Linked DNA regions of Oryzias latipes. The main gene of each other region encodes a partner of the protein of the gene in region 2 in a complex. Links are inferred from orthologs where the notes say so. Each region holds a gene or a part of one and is shown on either strand. Other genes may lie near its edges.

What was found.
Region 1: the proteins of glycylpeptide N-tetradecanoyltransferase 1 (region 2) and ncs1 are in contact, whole or in part, in a crystal structure (PDB 5O9S), measured with the Homo sapiens proteins. The link is inferred for Oryzias latipes from reciprocal best matches to the Homo sapiens genes NMT1 and NCS1. Residues at the interface, in NP_066565.1 of Homo sapiens: Tyr180, Val181, Glu182, Asp183, Asp184, Asp185, Met187, Phe188, Arg189, Phe190, Tyr192, Asn246, Thr282, Ala283, Gly284, Arg295, Tyr296, His298, Ser300, Lys310, Phe311, Ser312, Tyr401, Leu403, Ser405, Tyr420, Gly468, Ile469, Gly470, Asp471; in NP_055101.2 of Homo sapiens: Gly2, Lys3, Ser4, Asn5, Ser6, Lys7, Leu8, Lys9.

What each region holds. Positions count from the first base shown.
Region 1 is NC_019867.2:19,603,920-19,613,855, forward strand, and holds part of ncs1 (neuronal calcium sensor 1), read right to left. Parts: intron 5,828-9,936; coding exon 5,689-5,827; intron 3,422-5,688; coding exon 3,343-3,421; intron 2,544-3,342; coding exon 2,455-2,543; intron 2,379-2,454; coding exon 2,301-2,378; intron 1,062-2,300; coding exon 963-1,061; 3' UTR 954-962; intron 489-953; 3' UTR 1-488. UniProt on the Homo sapiens protein: Neuronal calcium sensor, regulator of G protein-coupled receptor phosphorylation in a calcium dependent manner. Directly regulates GRK1 (RHOK), but not GRK2 to GRK5. Can substitute for calmodulin. Stimulates PI4KB kinase activity.
Region 2 is NC_019866.2:5,210,398-5,221,095, reverse strand, and holds the start of glycylpeptide N-tetradecanoyltransferase 1, read left to right. Parts: upstream 1-5,580; 5' UTR 5,581-5,609; coding exon 5,610-5,713; intron 5,714-5,927; exon of another isoform or gene 5,928-6,000; intron 6,001-7,299; coding exon 7,300-7,405; intron 7,406-7,864; coding exon 7,865-7,939; intron 7,940-8,211; coding exon 8,212-8,356; intron 8,357-8,438; coding exon 8,439-8,557; intron 8,558-8,922; coding exon 8,923-9,014; intron 9,015-9,138; coding exon 9,139-9,255; intron 9,256-9,407; coding exon 9,408-9,578; intron 9,579-9,653; coding exon 9,654-9,762; intron 9,763-10,335; coding exon 10,336-10,506; intron 10,507-10,595; coding exon 10,596-10,698. Other genes in the region: plcd3 (1-phosphatidylinositol 4,5-bisphosphate phosphodiesterase delta-3), read left to right, coding at 1-145, 224-374, 498-614, 2,030-2,208, 2,776-2,911, 3,176-3,325, 3,412-3,554.

The sequences.
Region 1 (9,936 bases), on a different chromosome or scaffold from region 2:
TATATAACATACCCCCACACTGCTTCATAATTTTAAGTTCATTTTCTTATCATCATCTTTAGGAGTGAGATTTGAAGTCCATCATGCCATCATGTGGGGGTTACACATTTCCACACGTGGCAGCTGTTGCTTTGCGGCAAAGACACATCTCTGTGGGGATTCAGTTCTCCGGATCGTCCAGGACCAACGCTGCCCTTCTAGAGATGCTCCAGCACTGAGCAATGTGCATGGCGCTACATAGCTGCAGAAGCAAACGATGGCACGTGTGCTGACAAGTTTGTCTCCTCCTTCACGCCAAGGAAAGTCATTGTCCTCTGTCCTCAACAACGATGTGGATGAACTGCTACAGCACAGGTGTCGTTTGGCCATGCGACAAAGCTTTATAGTGCGCTCCCTTGGTGATGAAAGTTAAGTAAGCGTTTCCGCCTGCTGCAGGGTGATGGTGCTGGATTGTTGACTATCAGCAGGAGGATGCTAAATGGTCCCATCTGAGAAGAGAAGAGACTGTATTAGTTTAAACAGTCATGATGAAAAGTGTGATCATACATGAGTGCTTATAACATGGTAGACAATGGCTAAACAGCTTTACTGAAGATACATGTCTTTATAAGCTCACTTCACAGTTGATTAAACGCTGAGCAGGATGTTAGCAACAATTGTCAGCAGCCAGAATATGACATCAGGCAGTGAGAGGATAGGGATGTCTCCCTCCTCATTCATCACTGCAAGACTATCAAGCTGCCAGAAAACAAGTGGGCCATCTGAATAATTCATAAGAACAAACTGAGAGCAGAAATTGGCTTACACCCCTGAGTTTCAGCACATGGACTGAATATCTTTTCTGATTTTTTTTTAAAGCATTAGAGTGTATTAGAGCTGAACTCAGGCGTGACTAGGAAATGGCATTCCCAATGAGAAGCATGCATGAACCAGTCCATCAATCTGTCACTCACCTTCCATTCCTACACAAGTCCATCATATAGAGACAGGGCCTGAACAATGGAGGGGTCTGCCTTCGAGCCCTCCTGAAACTCTTGCAGAGTCAGCTTTCCATCTGCATTCTGCAAGGAGGAGCAAAAATGACCCTCAAGATTAAAATGTTTAGCAAAGATATGCCAGCAGAGGGCAAAAAGGGATTTCTGTCTGAAGTAGAACTGGCTGATCTCTAAAATAAAACAAGTGTTTGGTGAAACCATAAAAGAACATAAATACATGAGAATAGTCATACATTCTGAGAAAAAAGCCAAAACTTGACAAAAATAAAGTTGTGCAATAATTAAAAAAAATCTACATTATTCAAGAACAAAATAATAATTTTAAGATTTAAAAAGTCATAATTTTTGCACGGAAAAAGTTGTGCTTTTTCAAAAATAAAGTTGGAATTTGATGAAAATAAAGTTGTATATTTACAATTGATGTTTTATTCTGTTTTTTTCTTATTCTTAAACCTTGTACAGTGACCTTGGGTGACCTGAAAGGTGCTTGAAATAAAATGTATTATTATTATCATTATTATTACAACACAAAGGTAAAGCAAATTCAGCAAGATTTTTGGAGCAGATCTCCATCCAATTTCTCTGATTTGTTTGCAACATTGATTAAAAGGGTAATGTTCGAAATGTGTTGAAACATTTTAAAAGCTAAAAATGTTATTTTATTTTCAAAAATAAAAGACTTTTTCCTTGTAAAATTAATTACCTTATTCTCATAAATTGTTGACATCTCTTGATAATTCTGCCTTTTTTCAGAAATCATTTGACTTTTTTTTCAGAACAGTAATAAGCTTTTTCTCAGCATTGTAGGCTATGACTTTATCTTCATAAAATTAGACTTTTTTTTTTAAACATTTTTCGACTTTATTCTCATATATTTGTTTTTTTTCCCCAAAAAATCCTGCCTTGGCCATTAACAAAATGACAAATAAATAGTGCAGGCTGTAGAGTTAGCTCTACAGGCGGATCTAATATGACAATACTGTTTCATCTATTACCAGAGCTGCAAAGAGTCTGGGGGCAGATGGAGTGGGCAGTAAAGGCTAATAGTGGAGATGAGTATAAGTGCAGGTGGTGTAAGTGATGCTGCTGAAATGGCTACAGAGAGCTCTCAGTTTAACAGTGTCTGTATTAGAGCCCCAAGGGTGCCAGTAAGGCTACACTCAGTCCTATTACTCTTAAACAAGTGATTCAATGAATACTGCACTTGATGCTGTCAAGCGCTCATACTGACCTCTAAAAGGTCGGACCAATTGATGCAATTCTCTGCTTTAATTTGCTGTTTGTCAGGTCTAGTTCAATACTAACCTTGTCCATCATTGCAAAAATGCGGTCGACTCGCTTTTCTGGTGTGTTCTCCTCCTCTGGCAATTCCACAGTGTTTCCCTTAGACATCACATCATTACACTGTGAACCGTGATGCTAGTGCAGGTAAACAGAGGGGATGTGTTTCTAAACTTACCACCATTTGGTATATGGCATCTACGATGTTTAGCATTTCATCACGAGTTATATAGCCGTCATTGTCGAGGTCATACAATTTAAAAGCCCCTGTAGAAAAAAAAGACAAAATGTCAAAACATATAACTCTCCATGAAGAAAAATATGGTAAAATAGAAATAAAAATAGAAAAATATATAGAAATAGAAATATCTCGGTGGAAACATTTGCTGCGGCAGTCAGAGACTAATTACAAGCTCAACAAAACATTTCTATCTGCAATATAAAAAAGATTGACGTATACACTGGTCTCTCGCTATATTGCGTTTCAGCTTTCGCAGTCATTGTCTTTGTATTTATCTTTTTAGTAATAATAGATTTAAGTTGCTGATATTCCAAGAAGTTATTTGTTCTATGTTTCTCTTGAAGTTCCTGGGGTGTTATGAATCTTCTATCAATAAATAGGTGCTCTAGTAGTGTTCCGCCCCCTGCTTGCCAAGCTGGGAAGCGTAACATTTTTTGCACTCTGCATCCTGATTGGCTGTAGACCTTGTGACTCAATCTTCTCCTTAAACACAATCATTTAGCCATATTTACATAAATCTTCGATCATGGTCAGGTTTTTGTTTTAATTCTATAATACTGGACTCATTTTTCTGCTTTGATTGAACTTTGAGAGTTTAAACAAGAGAGAAAAGTGTATAAAGTGTGTAGTGAGGGGCTTTACAGCCTTAAAACATCTATAACGCTACTTTGCAGATTTAACCGTTTAAACATAACCTTTGTGATAAACGAGGGAACACTATAATCCTTGCTTTCAAAAAGACAGATATTTACATTTATTTCAAGCAGATTGCTTAGTTGTGATTCTTTTTTTATAAAAATGATAGGAGAGGAAGTATCTTCTTACATCTCAGCTTCTCATCCAGAGTCCCCCTGGAGGTCACTGACAAGGCCTGGATGAACTCTGAGAACTCGATGCGTCCATCCTATGTAAGAAAAAAAAGAATTCAAGAAAGACTTTTCTGTAAAAAGGAAAAAAACATAAATGTCTTAATTTGTTGCGCTCCCAACTTCTTTTGCTGTGCTTTCTTAAACTCCTCCTTGCTCCTCGTGAGAATCCTCACTGGATTTCTGCTGGAAACAGGGTCAGTCGTTCTCTCCAAGCTATTTTCTGCCCTGCACCTGGTTCTCTCTAAGACCTGAATCATGTCATCTCTGATCATTAGTTAGATGGATGTTAGTGGCTCATTTAAACATGAACATCACAACAACAACAACTATTTTTCATTGTGAATGAGCTCAGGAGATTAAGCTGTCCAACAATTTCTTTGACTTCCCGTTTTTAGGCCACACGTATTATGTCTCACAAAAATTCCCTCAAGAAAATGTGCTCTTTTTATTTATTTTTTTGCAAAAAAAAAGTTCTGCACATATGGAATGTGATTATCCATGAGAGGAACATTTAAGTGACACCAACATCTGTCTTTGACAACTGGAAACAACACTTTAAAAAAGAGCAAATGCAACCCAAAAAGAAAAGAACAAATTAATCATTTTCAAAGTGAAAACAACTGTTTCTTAGGAAAATTAACAAATGAAAACCATCAGGACTTTATTCTCAACAAATACCAAAAGATTCTGCATCATAATTAAAGGTTACTTCTTTTCCAAAACACCAGCTGATTACCTGTAATCCTCAGTGGTCCTCCCCACTTTAAGTTTAAAAAAGAAAAGTACCGGTGGGACCAGGCTGCTTAAGTCAGCTGAATGCATATCTCGCAGACATTCATCTTGCCAGAAAAATGCTGAGGTCATTCCCAGCCGATTACATAAACCATAATGACTATTAAGATCAATGCATTCTATTACAGCGGGGTGTCTGATTCCAAATGAGGGTCACAGTTAGCATCTGATGAGGAGGTTGTCTGATCACTCAGATCATCACACAAAGCCTCTAAACACATGTCAATACATATCCAGAGGCTTGCTGTGCTGCTGCACACAAACCATTTATAAGTGGTTTGAATAATCACGTCCAGCTGTGATGATGGAAGGACAGCGGGGGAGATGACCTCAAACGAATGTATAAATAACAGCCTGCCTTTGAAAACTTCCTTTGTCATCACATCCTGAAATCCTTGGTGTGATCATAAAAGCGGCAACAGCCTGACATCACAAAAGCACAAACACTTGTGGGTAGAAGGAAAAAAAACGTCTCAGAGAAGAGTTTGCTACACAAATTGAAGAGTTGGACATTTATGGCGCAGTTGATGCTGTGACTAATCCTCAACTCCAAACTCCGACAGCCTGGCAAATCGAATCATCCGTCACGCTGACATTCTGAAGCACTAAATTCATTTGGAGGATCATTTTTCATTTTTCATCCCCACTCACTAAACCAATCAAGTGTTATGAAATGCAGATTTGATTTTTATGATCATGTCGTCTTTTTTTTTGTGATGTGAAAAAGAAACATAATTTAATATGAGAAAAAAAAGATTAGATTAGATTAAATAGTAATTCTTTTAAGGCTTCTTTAATGATGTTGCAAATCAGAAAATGTTAAAAACCCAGTTCTATCATTTTTTGATATATTTTAAAACTGTTTCCAGTGCTATTTAAATTAAGATTTTGAAGTTTTTAGACAAAATCAAAAGACCTGCAGTATGTCGCTTTCTAGGACATAGTTTCTGTAGCAGATCATTAGAAATTCACTCCTTTTCTCACTTGGAGTTTGTGACCCACACAGTGTATTTTCTGTCACAAACTGGATTTTTTTGTCGGCTCCTGTTTCACAACGATTCGAATATAGAAATGCTCAGAAAACAATTTGGAATCTAATTTTTCTTAATACACGTCCTCTATCATCATAAAAATGCCAAAAAAACATGTTAAGAACACCAAAAACAAGAGTGAGTCTTTAAGGCTTTTTATGAACATGGATGTGTTTTTAGGTGTCAATCACTGAAAGTTTAAAGTGCAAACTATTTTAATACTTGACTGAACTTTTTTACTAAAAATAAAAGTATAAACAATATTGAATGCTCCAGTATTAAGAATACATTAACCATAAAGTACTTAAATTAGATGCTTTGCCAAAAGATGCTGGCATTTTATTGTATTTTAACCACTGGTGGGACAAAGAGGCTGATTGAGTCCAGATCTTCACGTCGGCCTTTTAGCACAATTTTATCCAATAATATTCAGTTTAATGTTACAAAAAATACAAATACTAATAAAAATAAATACCAACCTTATTTTCATCAAACACATTGAAGACGAAGGAAGCAAACTTTGTAGGATCTCCAAAAGGAAAAAACTGTTTGTATATCTTTTGAAATCCCACAGCGTCCAGCTGCCCACTTGGACAATCCTTGATGAAACCTTTGTACCTGAAAAAAATGAAAAAAGGTTAACATGTTAAAAGATATACCGTACTGACTATAATTCTCAACAGATGCTACTTTTTGAACCATTTTAGACGTACTCTGGAGCAAATGTAGCAAATACTGAAAGTATTTTCACACGATGAGAAATTGAAGACAATCTGCTGAAGTTAAAAATGAGCAATTAGGAATAGGGCTGAAGTTTTTACCAATAAGTGGCTGCTAGTGCCAGATGTGGTAGTCTGAATATTTTAGAATTCAGATCCATCTTTACCATCTTTAATGTCAATGAAGTTGACATTGAGTAGAATTTTAACAGGTTGTCTTGTTTACATGCAAAATGCATCGTTCATGCCATACGATTGGTCCAATGTTTCGTTGCTGAACGTCTGAGTGCAGAAAATAATGCAAATAATTTATAACCAAGACAAGACTATAAATGAGGACATTTCTCTCTTCACTTTCAAAGAAGGCATTACCGTTTCCTTTTGAATGAGTGTGCCAGATCATAAAGCCAAAGTGCAAAGCCATTTGTCTCATTCATAAGATAAGATAATTGTCTTAATCCAATAGCAACCCCAGAGTGCTTGACTAATCAAATTTCTCTCTGCTTCTCTTTTGATAATATGCATGGATGAAAGATAGGCCTGAGAGCTTCCTTTTTCCCCCTGGAGACGGCATTTCTAAAGAGCGACTTAACATTTCTATTAGCCTAAATATAGAAGCAACTCATAAGCAACCTGAAGAGCAGCTACTAACAGGTAGGCCGATTCCTGGAATGTCTTTGAAAATAACCATTGTGGAGCAGAAACTGAAAGGTCAAAGACAACCAGGAGCATGAGGCTTTTTTTTATTAGGTTTTGTGCTACCATATAATGGAAATCGAGGGACTGTATCTATAAGAAAAAAAATTCTAAAAAATACTGATAACACAAGGGAGCTTAGCATGTTCATCTCCAAATCAGGGTTATAAATAAGGTTATATAGAGACGGTGCTGATGAAAAATGAAACGCCAAAGCTTTTTTTGTACAAGCCGTCTCTTGGCGTTTCTTTTAATCTGCCTAAAAGATAAAGTCAGCTTCATATAGTCAAAGGGTCGAGGAGCCACTTTGAGCAGGAGCTGGAAACAAGTTCAATCAGTGGAGTAGCAGCAGCAAAAAACATTCTAATTCTTGAATTTGAATTATCTAGAGATATGAGGAAAAATGAAAGTCCAGCTCTCTGTAATGCAGTGCTGGACATTTAACATATGTTCCACAACCAACTAATTTTACATCAGTTCCTAGGGGGGTAAGTGTTCAAATCCTGTAACCTATGTTAAAAGTCCAGAGTTTTAAGTTTTTCTAATTAAAAAAAATCTCAAAATGTTCAAGCTGTTGAAAGTTTTCCCCAGGCAGCAGCAAAGGAAAAGAAATATGGCTGTGAAGGTTTTGTTTGTTCGCATTATTTCAGGACCCCTTTCTGAATGTAACTCAATATAAAACTGGATTTGCCACAAAATTGCTTCATAAATCAGGGGGTGCTTAGACTGAGTCTGCAGGAAAGAAAACAGTGGGTGTGATCCTCTGCTGCAAAAGGGTTGGCATAACCTTCAGAAATCTGTGTCGCATAACAAACCACCGTACGCATAAATCCATGTGTGATAAAACCAGCAAAGATCTTTGTTCTTTGAAGATAAGTTCTTTGTTTTGAGGCTGATTTTTTGTTTCAAAGATAAACACAAATTACAGGAACAGAGATAAAAGGATTTCACCTGACTGTATGATAACTAATCGGAGCGAGTGTGACGTCATCCATAGAGAATAGCTTATTTCCGGCTCCAGCAAAATAAGTCAATTCAGTCGCCGTTTTTTATATGGCACATATCGCCATATGCGCCTCGACAACATCACTTAGCAGTGATTGGTCTGAGTTGGTCTGAGTCAATGTTTCTTTGGTAACCACTCTTGCCAGTCAGGAATTAGTTTGTTGGAAATCTACTGTGAAATGTATTAGTGAAATAATAAAACAATCAGTTTGTTTCCTTAAACTCTTTCCTTAAAAGAGTTTGGAAAAGTCCTGCCTGTGAGTATATAAAGCTGTTCAATTAGTCAGCAATGTATGTTTAGGTCAAATGAGTGTTAGCATTAGCCGTCCTATGGGGAATTCCCTTATACGTTAGCATCAAGCTAGCGGACTTTGCTGCTGTTATGCGTTAGGTAAATGTTTGTTTATTAAGCTTAGATTGATTCAGATTGATTAATCCATTGCATCAACTCATCCCTACTTTTTTATGATATGTTTTTCTTCATTGTAAGTTAATCAAATTCTAAGCTGAACGATTAGATTACGCACTAAAAACATGTGGTGCCCGCTGGCCCCCACATTGAACGCTCAAAATGTTTGATAGATTTTTCCCGAGTCCATTTTCATTGGAAGAGGGTGTGGACTTCCAACAAGCTCACTCCTGATTGGTGAGAGTGGTTGCCATAGAAGCGTCGACTCATACTGACTCGGCCCAATCACTGCTTACTGACATCGTCTAACTCTAATCTTTTGAAATCTGTATCAAGAAAAAATGGCGGCTGATTTGGCTTCATTTGGTTGGAGCCAGAAGTAAGTCATTTTCTATGGGTGACGTCTCATTCACTAGGTCCAGTTCTGTTATACAGTCAATGGCATAGACAGTAAATAACATCTGAGAACAGTGAGTCAGATGAAAGTCAGCCAGCACAAAGTTTATAGTTGTATTACCAATCAGAGTAGATCTGATTTCAACACTGGCAGGGAGTCATCTGCCTTGGCTCAGGTCCGCTCTAAAAGGTGGTTTTAAAAACTGCTGAGTCAGGGGTGTAGTTGTTTTTTACAGTGCTTCTGCAGTTCTTGTTGAGGAAATGGTGACATGAAGTGTTCAGATGTATATTCTTATCCACCTAAATTTAACTTTAATGTTTTCTCACAACAATAAATGACTGTTATAAATTAGAAAACAGAGGAACATTAAGATATCCAAATTAACTTACTTCCCTGTTAAAATATTAGAAATGAGCAGAAGAAATGACAAAAATGTTTCTAAATTGATTTTATAACTTTTATATAGACACTTACTCGTATCACAGATAAATAAAACTTGAGCACATCACCTTACTCCTTTACAGGAGAAAACTAAACAGAATATTTAAAAATTCCAAATTCTGTTTTTGTTATATTTTTAAACCCGGGTAATAGACTTTTCATGGTTGGTATCTATGTGCATTAGATAAAATAAAAAAAAGATGTTTAAATATCCTATAAACCTTTGCAAAAAAGGCTGAACATCAATGCAATCAAAACAAATTGCAAAATGATAGATAAGCTAAAATGATATGTTACCAACCAAACAGATCAATTGAGAACAGGAATAGAATAACAGGGAGATTACTTTCTCCTCAAAAAACTTTTAAATTAAAAAAAAGGAAATAGACTTGGATGCTTACAGCTAGTTTGTATGCAGACCATGCTAGACAATTTAAGCAATCAAATTAGAAATTTGACTAATATAAACACCCTGAAACAAGTTTATGAATACAATTTCTAACTTTTGCCCCTGTACTAGTCTGCCCTCTCCTGGACATAACCATCAAAAGGGAGCATTCAATACCTTTAAACAGCTAGGTAATTTTGTGGAATTCGGCACAGATTACAAAAAAAATAGATTCACACCTTTTGAATTACAACTCATTGTAACGAGAAATTCAATTAAAGGCAGTTTAATTAAAACTAGGAAAATCTTTGCTCCAATACAAAACAATTTCTTTTACTTTTAACTCTAATTTTCTTTTTCTAAAATGCTGAAGTGTTTAATCACTCAAGTCCCTCCTTTGTTACTTGAATTCTATAGATTTTTTAAATGAACTCAGACCTACTTTGTTTAAACCGGAAAAACAAAACAGTCATGCACTAAGTCTGGAACCTTTTTTAAATCACTACAGCTGACATCTATCAACCAGCAAAGTAAAGTAAATATTCTAAAATATTTTCTTTCTGACAGTACAGTAGTAAGACATTACAGAAAAGTGCAATAATGTTATTTGGAAATGATTTTAATAGAAGTGCGTTATTTTTTATTTGATTGTAACCTCAAATGTGATTGGTT
Region 2 (10,698 bases):
ATTTCGAATTCTGGTGAAAGGAAAGACGCAGTCGTCTCGCCTGGGTCAGATGGGCAAAAGTGTAAGTTCTGCCAGTTTTGCGTCGAGCTGTGAAGACGATGAGACTAGCAGCAACAAAAGCGCATCCAAAAAGGATCCTACATATGTGAGTTTAGAAGCACTGATGAGTCTGAGCGTTTGTTGAACACATTTGAGCCAACCAAACATAATTTTCTGCATCTAGGTCTCTTCAAAATTGAGCCCGGAGCTGTCAGAACTGGTGGTTTACTGCAAGAGTGTCAACTTCAAGGGGTTTGACAACATATCCAACATGCCTCCAAATGAAATGTCTTCTTTCTCTGAGTGTGAGGCTCTCAAGCTCATCAAAGACTCAGGTACCACAGGGGAAATATCTACCTCCTGGAGATTTCAGATGTCTTTTTGATCAGATAAATCTACAATGGTTTATAATTAGCCCTGCAGTGTGTCATTGCATGCTGCTTTATTTTGATTTGCAGGGAAGCTTTTTGTAAAACACAACACGAGGCAGCTGAGCCGGATCTACCCCTCTGGCCAGCGTCTGCAATCCTCCAACTTTGATCCTCAGGATATGTGGAACAGTGGCTGCCAGATGGGTTGGTACTCCCCACTAAAAACCCAGACTAAAGCAAAGATGATTGAAATTTGAAAAAATAACTCTCTGAAGCTACGTTCACACTGCAATGTTCAAGCAATCACTTTCAATCAAAAGTCTAAGTAAATGTGTATATGGGCATTTATGGCTTCCACATTCAAGACCGATGCGTTCACGTGTCACTACGCACATTTTTAGGACCGTTTTCGGGCTCTACATACAAAACGCGCAGCCACTGAACATCGGTTGTAAATTAAACCAGATCAAACTTGAACCAATCAGGGACTTGGATTTGGAAGTGACGTATAGATGGTGTTTCTTTTAATTCACAGAAGTGCCAACTGTTAAAAACATTGATCATGGAGGAGAAATTAATAATCGCGGTTTGTGCCCGGCTGAAATTATACGATCCCAAGTCTTTCATTTATTGGAATAGAGTTGTGGAAAAAAAAAACCTGAAGCAAGATTCATGTGATTTGCACCACTTCAACATTTCTCACTCCCATCTGTAGGTACATTCGGTAGTGATCAGTAGCAAAAGAAAAAGGAGAAGCCCCTCCTTGCCTGTCTAGTGTGAACACTGTAGGCAAGAATGTGCATTTAGCGGGTTCTTAAAACGAGCATCACATGCCCGGTGTGAACCTGTCTTTACATGAATGTGTCTTGCAGTTACCTTGAGGCTCGTATGGCCACCTCATGGGGTTGTCATGACAATGGAACTTATCATTGTCGAGTGTGTGTGTGGTAAATGTATCTGTAGTATTTGTAAGGAGAATGTAAGTTACATGCACTTATGACATACGGGTGATGCTGTTGTACGCTGCCCTACGCCACTCTCCAGTTGTTTGTAAGGTGGGAGTACTGGCTTTTTACAGACCACACGCAAATGCTACACAGATGGGGTGTGCATGTGATGCGTAAGTCCACGTAAGACGCCTCGAGAGTGCCCATACAAAATTTACCTTAATTGACCAATTTCTTAAATTCTAACAGTCAGGCTGCACACAAACGGGCGCACACTTATCACCTAAACGGCGCTAACGGGACCCTGCACAGTGCGCAGGATTTGGGGGTTGAAAAAATAAAAAAACTCTTTATAACATGTCAGCATCTCACCTATTTCACCCGTATTTGACCCCATGTGTTGCATAAAAGTTCCTTACGACCTGTCACTCACAGCATGCCTGTAGAAAATAATTTACATGCACTTTATCGCTCTACTGTTTACTGAGCGGTCTACAATCTTAATATTTTCTATGGGCCACCTGTGTGCCCCGTATAGGTTTGCCCATTTTTCGGCTGCAGGTCCGCATCCACCCTTAAGGGCAGTTGTGACTAAGGTTCTCTTGTGGGTCTGTTTATAATTAGATCTGTTGGTACTGTTGCTGACTCCAGTCTTCTCTCTGTGCCGCTCAGTGGCTCTCAACTTTCAGACACCTGGGGAGCAGATGGACCTTAATCAGGGTCGCTTCCTAGCCAACGGTCGCTGTGGCTACGTGCTCAAGCCCAGCTTCTTGTGCAGCCCTACGTCCAACTTTGACCCAGAGAACACCGGTGGAGGCCCCGGCCACACACCCACACAACTGACTATACGAGTGAGCTGTTGCATGAATCTGTCGATTAGCAAATAAAATGTTGAGATCTAATTCATTCATTTATTTGTAATGTTGCATCCACATTGTTGTCTTCTGTTTACATGTGTGGATCTTTAAATGCAATAAAAACTGAGCTCTACTCTGTTAATCCTTGGGATGGGGGGGTCAGAAAGTCAGTGAAGTCTAGGATTTTAAAAATGCTTTTTAGCAGGCCCGAATTTAGCCAGCCCCACACTGGATATGCCGAGACTTTGGGTTGTCAAAGACCTAAAATGTTTAGAAAACCATGCTATGGGTTCATCTAACCTTAGATCTTTTTTATGTCTATACATTTTATAGTGAATGCCTTCCTGACACTATGCTCTGCATTTACCCGGCTTGGGACCTGCACATTATTTATGTATTCATTTATTGTTCTGTTTCTTGGAGTTTTTTTTTTAATATAATTTTTATTTCCTTAGTTAATTGAGGATTTTTGTGGGTGATGATGGCACTTATGCCCCCCCCCCATGCCCAAATCCAGCCTTTTTAAACTGTTTACCGACCAATTTCTTTTGTTTTTTGTAGGTATTAACTGCACAGCAGCTGCCAAAAGTCAACACAGAGAAGGCGAGCGCCATTGTGGATCCGCAAGTTTCTGTAGAAATTCATGGAGTCAGTATTGACAATGCAAAAAACAAAACCCATCGCATTGACAACAATGGTAATTTTGAAATGTATTTATGTGTATTAAACAACATAAATACAAGAACCCTTTAATTTTAGCTGCATGATACTGATTTGTGTGTTTCATAATACAGTTATTTTTTTATACAATATTAATGTTTTTAAAACATTAAGACAAAAATATGTATAACAAAGTTTCCTTTGACTTGTTTATTATGCAGCATAAACATTTTTCTTCCAATGCTCAGCTGTGATTGGGTTCTTTAGAAGTGTTTTGACAGCTCTTTGGCGCCCCCTGCAGGCTTCAACCCACGTTGGGACTGCACTCTGGGCTTCCAGCTTCAGGTCCCTGAACTGGCTCTGGTGCGCTTTGTGGTGGAGGACCACGATCACACGGTCAAAAATGACTTTGTGGGGCAGTTTACTCTGCCTTTCACCAGCCTACGCACAGGTAGCTCATAAAGATTTGTCCTGTTCAGATGAAAAAGAGAAAATTTTCTCTTTGGTGTCACAACTGACATCTTCTTTTTGTCTCAGGTTATCGACACATCCACCTCCTGAAGGCAGATGGCTCCAGTCTGTCTCCAGCTACACTCTTTGTCCATGTGAAAGTGAGCCACAGAGGACCTCCAGTTCAAACCCTGTCAGAGCGTATGGCCATTGCTAAGAGGAAAGCGTGAAACACGCCTGAAAATGGAGGAAATTCTGCTTCTTTTGCCAACAAAGACCTTTAGAAGCAGAAACGCTGAATGTGAAGACTCCCTCAAACTTAACCCGTCCAATTTCTGTTCAGCCACTTAGTTTCTCAGATGCACTTTGAGACTTTTTTTGGTCTATTCAGGGCAAAAATGAAGAAGAAAAGGAGCCTTAAACACCCTTATAGGATGCTTAAGTGTTTAAACGTACATAACCTCCATGACAGAATTATTATTTTGACATTTTAGTTTGTTTTGAAAACGTTTTTAACTGTTTTGTTAATGTAAAGATGAAGAGTACCTCAACAGAAATGATACTTATATGATTTTTACCACAAAGATGTGTAATCCCTGTTTTTTTTTAAATATATTTTAATTTAACCGTTTTAGAGATTTGTTATTTTATTACTGTGTAACCCAAGTTTTTCAAAAGATTGAACAGAATTTTCTTAAATCAATCTTACTCAATACTTTGAGTACTTTAGCACTTTAAACTTACCTTTGAAAATTGTTTTAACCATCATGCTTAGAAACCACCGATATGCAAGTACTGGTTCGGTATCATTTTACAAATGTATTAAATTCTGGCCTCAAGTCTTGTTCAGCTCTTTGTTATCAGGAAATTGTGGATTAAGACGCAACAGCTCCCTTAAAGCGTCACTGAAGGGAATACTTATAGTCAGAGATAGAAAAAGAGAAGCACTGAGTTTGCCATAAATACAATGTATATGCCTTAATTGTTTTTGACTGAATCTGTGATGAGTGAACAGTTTGCAGTGTTATACCTCAGTGCCTGTGTTTGTATCATGTATCCAAGACTGTGTTTTTGTAAAGCAATAATAACACCACAAAAATGAGACTCGACCTTTCTTTTCATTGTTTTATTCTCGCATGTTCCTAAATAATTATAAGCTATGATTTCATGTTTAAAAAGTTATTTTTTTGCTGTGCACATTTTAATGTCAAAGTTAGAGATTTGTACAAAAATGTTCAATATGAAACAGGTCATAAAACTACTGGTTTATAATTAAGAGGTACACGGCAATAGAGGGTTAGATCTGTCGCTTTACAGCAAGACCTCATCTGACTCCCCTATGGCTCCAAAATGTGTGGGATTGCTGTCCTTGTGCTTTCTTTTATTTCATTTCAACCACAGTTAAAAAGAAAAAGTTGAAGTGGTTGTTTTTCTATGCATATCTCCATTCAAGCTGATAAGCACAAATTTAGGCTATATAAAATAGCAAAAGAGTTCACACTATAAAACTTGTTATCCAAATTTATGGTTGTAAGAAGCCAATCTCTATTTAATCCAATGTTCTCTTAGAAATTGTCAACCATGTGCTTCTCCTTCCTGCAGAAATTACATTAACTAATACTTAATTATAAATAATAATTTTAAAAAATTACATTTATCATAACCACCCTAAGCACCACATTTGCAAAGCAAAATTCTACAGTGGAAGTAAGAAAAAATATTAATGCCTATAATTGATGTAAAGAAAAAAGTACTTTTTAAATGTCTGTTTGATTTTCGATAAATTTATAGCAAAATTCATTGTAGTTTATTGAGTATTTAATGCCTGGCCATATTTTAACACATCCTTTGAAACAATTCTACATTCTAACTGCTTAATGTTTTTTATATTCTATTTGTAGTTTTTTCATTGACATTGAAAATGTAAATGACAAACGTAGGTCTGTAGATTTTTCTACTTGTTTCAGGAATCTTCCCTAACTTCAATTTGCCTTAATCAGATTTCCTTCCATGCCATTCCACTCTGAATGGGTTGAAGGCACGGCTCTGATCACATGACTCTAATGTGTGAAAGAAAAGGAACAATTCACACAGCTGACAATACAGCCAAAATGTTATAAGCGTTTTGGCAACTTATGCGACATGGTTATTGAAAGTTGAACGTCTGTTTTACGTGTCGGTGTAAAGGGACAGAGTAAGAACCACTTTTCACTTTGGGCCAATAGCAGCAAAGCAGGTTTAAAGGCGTAGAGGACACGCGGTGGTCCATCGCTTCCTGGTTAAAGATGGCGGATGAGAATGAGACAGCACCCCAGCAGGAAAAAGAAGATGTAGAAGACCACGCACACTGTAGCGATTGCGAAAATGACGAGCATCCCTTTGACGATGGGTAAGAGTAGCATCATTTTCAGTTGTTTGCGTGAATTAAGCCATTGTATTTAGCTGTTTTTCAAAGCTTATGCTAACCAATGCCTTGGCTAGCGGTCGAAGGCAGGGGTTGTCGCCACTCCCACTTGTGATATTTCAATTGGCTAATAAAAGTGTCGGTTTATCAGTACTGGATTTTGATTGGCTGAAACTTTATTTGGATCGCCATGTAGGCGGTGCTTCGTGACGAATCTCCTCAGCCATGCTAGCAAGGCGTAGGAGACAGAGTTGAAGAGAAACATTAAATGGGTAATAAACGAGTCCCGTATTTAAAACTTATCAGATTTGTATAATTTTAACAACTTACCCAATGAATTACCATTTAATGCAATACATCGCTGGTTAGTTCAGATGCACGACAGAGATGTAAGCGATCAAACTCCAACTGACGTTTAACGCGCTAGCTCTAGCATGCTAACGTAGCTGTCAAACCCATTGTCTTAGGCTGAATTTCGTGGCTAAATCTTTATGAAAGGACGCAAAACCTGCATGTTTTCTTGCTCTCGCCTTGTTAATCAAATAGCTTTGGGAAGTTTTCAATTCATTGTCTGTATTGCTAAAACATGCAAGTCCCAGAAAACCTTTGACGAATAGAAAAAGGCTTGGGAATATACTCGTTTTGATGATTTATACAAAGTAAAAATCCACCGTGCTCCTGTGGAGACATCTTCTCTATTTTAATTATTTGTGTTTGTGCAGACAAAGAAAAAGCGAAACCAGGTGGGTCGTCTTTTTATGAGATCCTGCGTTAGGCTCAGACAGATGACACCCATTCAAGAGGAGCTAAATCTTAGATCACTGAAGTTGGAAAGAATAGCGACAGATTGAATGTCATACACTTGCACTATCCTGCTGTTTGTAGGATATTGTCGTGACTTGTTGAAGTGCTGTGAAGCAAATCACTTTCTGTCCTGGCAGCATTTACATCCCACCTTAACACAGCCTGGAAACAATGGATGATTCTGCCTGTCGGTTGAAATAGAAGCCCGGAGAACAAACTATTGAATGTTTTGTTGACCATTGTTCTAGTTGCTCGGTGACCCCTTGCACATACGTGTGTACGCATGCGTCGATGCCACATACTCTTCTTCTGTAAGTCATGTGATTCACCATCTGCACCGGGGTTACAAGTACTTGCCCTGCCTCCTCTCTTGAACACTAATGAGATAATCCTCTGTAAGTATGTGGTAGATGTGTGGCTCTGTGGGCTCCGAGTCTTAAATGAGGTTCATTAAGCACATAATGTTGGTAAATAATGTTTGAATTGATTTAATATACTATATTTTATCTCTTCATTTCATTTTTATCAGTTAAACCAGTGACTTGCATTTCCTTAAGCTAAGGGTTTATTTTCCTCACCTTTCCCAGAGCATCTGCTGGCATTATCTATCTAATAGTGTCAAGCAAAACAGAAGTGGGAAAATACATTTGTCTTTATGATTTTGAAGTAACTTTTGAATGGAGAATTTGGGAAATACACAGGTGGATACTGGTTTTTTGATTGAAGACATTCATTTAGAAATAAGTGGATGTCTTATCTTGTTCCAGCGATCGGGGTTTGGGTGACGACACCGGCACCAAGAAGAAGAAAAAGAAACAGAAAAAGAAGAAGAAATCTGGTGCCACCGAAGCAACTCAGGACCCACTTGCAAAGGCAAGAGTGAAATCACTTTTTTTTTTTTTTTAATTTTAGTTTCAAAAGTAATGATCCAAAAGAAAGAAAGTAATGTTTGTTTAAATATGACTCACTCTGATGAAAACTATGTTTTTAACATGTTCTTGTGTTTTTTGTTTTTTTTTCTGAAGATGGAGATCGTTTCTTAAGAAAATGAATTAGAAAAGAAAATTATTTTATTCATTATAACAAGCAGAAAAAAGCAACATTTTCAAAAAGAGAGCATTTGTGATGTAGAAGATATGCTGAGTGAGCTATAGGCTCCCTGCTCCGCTCCATTCTGATGCATCCACTTGTAGACGAATAAATCCACGAACGTCTTTGTTTTCCTCGTCTGTGCTGGCATCTGGCTCAAAACCGTACGGCAGGATAGCTCAGGTATTGCTCGCCATTTTTGTTGCACCATTAATGTTAGGTTGGGTGTGTGAGGGGCTGTAGGCAAGCAGGACAGCGTCTAAACAGATGGATGACTCGGGCTTACTCGGTGCCAGTGGTCACGCTCACGACTTAGAGGTGAATTTCTAATGAACTACTGCCGCTCTACAGAAACTACGTTATAGAAAATGAAAGTTTTTTAATCATAATTGAAAGACCACTGGGAAGGCTCTAACATTAGATCATAAGATGATTGGAGTGGGTCTTTAAGATCAAATTTTATGTGGAAGGTTCATTTAATCTTGGATAAAAAGTAGATCTCATTTTGAATGTCGTAAGCTTCTCTGTCTGCTGCTCCCCTCTTTTCATTTAATTTAATAAAGATCTTTTTATTTGGTCTTCAAAAACAGGTGAATTCATTGCCAGCTGATAAGCTACAGGAGATCCAAAAGGCCATCGAACTCTTCTCTGTGGGCCAAGGTCCAGCCAAGACCATGGAGGAAGCCACTCGGAGAAGTTACCAGTTCTGGGACACGCAGCCCGTTCCCAAGCTAGGTGTGAGAAACATCAGAGGTTTCAGAACTTAAGGTCAAGCGAGACATATGTCATAATGTGGCGTGTTATTTTGACTTCACAGGGGAGACGGTGACGTCTCATGGCTCTATTGAACCTGATAAGGACGCCATTCGAGAGGAGCCCTACAGCCTCCCGCAGGGCTTCAGCTGGGACACCCTCGACCTGGGGGATCCCGCTGTGGTACGAGAGGTTGAATGACATATGAAACAATACCTGGGCATTCAATCCTTTTCAATTAAAATAATAATCTACAGTTCATATTATTACTTTTAATAATATTAATCCATTTAGATTCAATCTATGCTTTCATTTTTTTAAGCAACTTGGATATTTTTGCCGTTAAACTGCCGAAATATGTTAAACTTGATCTTTTATTTAGACAATGCAAGAGCTTATATATCATAGGCTGCACATCTTAAACTCTCAGAGCTTTTAGTATCTACGTGGGTTAAAAAAATGTAACTTTCAGATTCAAGTCTTCTCTTTCAGAAGGGATTTTCTGAATCTGAAACGGTTAACTGCTCCCTTGTGCTTCTCTAAAACAGCTTAAGGAGCTTTACACTCTTCTCAATGAGAACTATGTGGAAGACGATGACAACATGTTCAGATTTGACTACTCTCCTGAGTTTCTTCTCTGGTAACTTTTCCTAATTTATCATTTTGCCTTTAAAAAAGATCCAACATAATTTTAAAAATAGGTGTGTTTATAACAAAGAGCAGATGGACGTTCTGTGAAGGTGACTGGCTGCTGTGTTTCTCAGGGCGCTGCGACCTCCAGGCTGGTTGCCACAGTGGCATTGTGGTGTGAGGGTGAACTCCAACCAGAAGCTTGTGGGATTCATCAGCGCCATTCCAGCCAACATTCGCATCTACGATATGTAAAGAGATGAAATCTTGACCTGAATGAATGTCAATATTTCTATCACACCTCCCATTTTTGTCTGAATGAGTTGTGGGACTGTTTAAACATGAGAAATTGTCTAAAATGTTTTGTTTAAAATATTTTTTCTTTCTTTTTTTTTTGCTCTAGAGAAAAGAAAATGGTTGAGATCAACTTCCTTTGTGTCCACAAGAAGCTTCGCTCCAAACGGGTCGCTCCAGTTCTGATCAGAGAGATCACTAGAAGGGTCAATTTGCAGGGCATCTTCCAGGCTGTGTACACAGCCGGAGTCGTGCTGCCCAAACCTGTAGGCACCTGCAGGTTTGTCATGGAGAAGCAACTTTTTCTTCCTCATGATGTTCCTGAGTTTATTTTTGCCATTTTTCATTTGCAAAGGTACTGGCATCGCTCCTTGAACCCACGGAAACTAATTGAGGTCAAGTTCTCCCATCTGAGCAGGAACATGACTATGCAGCGCACAATGAAGCTTTACCGCCTGCCCGAGGTTAGTTGTGGCACAAATTAAGCAGCAAATCTAAGAAATTTGTTCTTTTTTAATCAGATCTTTAAAATGTAAAATACCACGTGGTCGTTTTCACCTGGTACTGGGGTAAATATTACTTTTTTAAAAAATTTTTTAGTATTCCATGATTTGCACACTTTATAGGGAATGCTTGATGTTTTTCTTTTTCTACTGATTATTTAATGTTCTATTCAATAGTTGCACAATAAATCTCAAACGGAACAAAAAAATTAATTCCATTAGAGATTTTTGTTGTCTTTTTTTACAGCAAAATCCACAGAAATGGAATAGATTTCTACAGAAATCTGTAGAGGACAAATTAAGAATAACCTGAATATTTCCCAACCACTGCTGCTAAATGACCTCATTTTGGTGTCTACAGAGGACATTTGGGGCTTTTCAATGATGTCAGATGCAAATGGGGGGGATTCTGGGAATTGTAGTTTTTGGTAGATTAAAAAAAAAATTAGAGTGTGCTATTTTTTTCCTCTGGTAGTCAGATAGTTAAAGGAAACTTTTAAGATGCAAGCCCTTCCCTTGCCCCTCCTCCTTTAGGCTCCAAAGACTTCTGGTCTGCGACCGATGACCAAGAAGGATGTGCCAGTGGTGCATCGCCTTTTCCGTGAATACCTGAGCCAGTTCAACCTTGTGCCTGTCATGAACCAGGAGGAGGTGGAACACTGGTTTCTGCCCCAGGAGAACATTGTTGACACCTATCTTGTGGAGGTAAATGGTTGTTGAGAAGGTTTTAGCTCTGCCGCTATGGCACTGATCCGTGTGATTGTTTTAATTTTTTTTATTTTACCGTCTGACAGTCGAATGGAAAAGTGACGGACTTCCTGAGTTTCTACACGCTGCCCTCCACCATCATGAACCATCCTGTGCACCGGAGTCTCAAAGCAGCATACTCTTTTTACA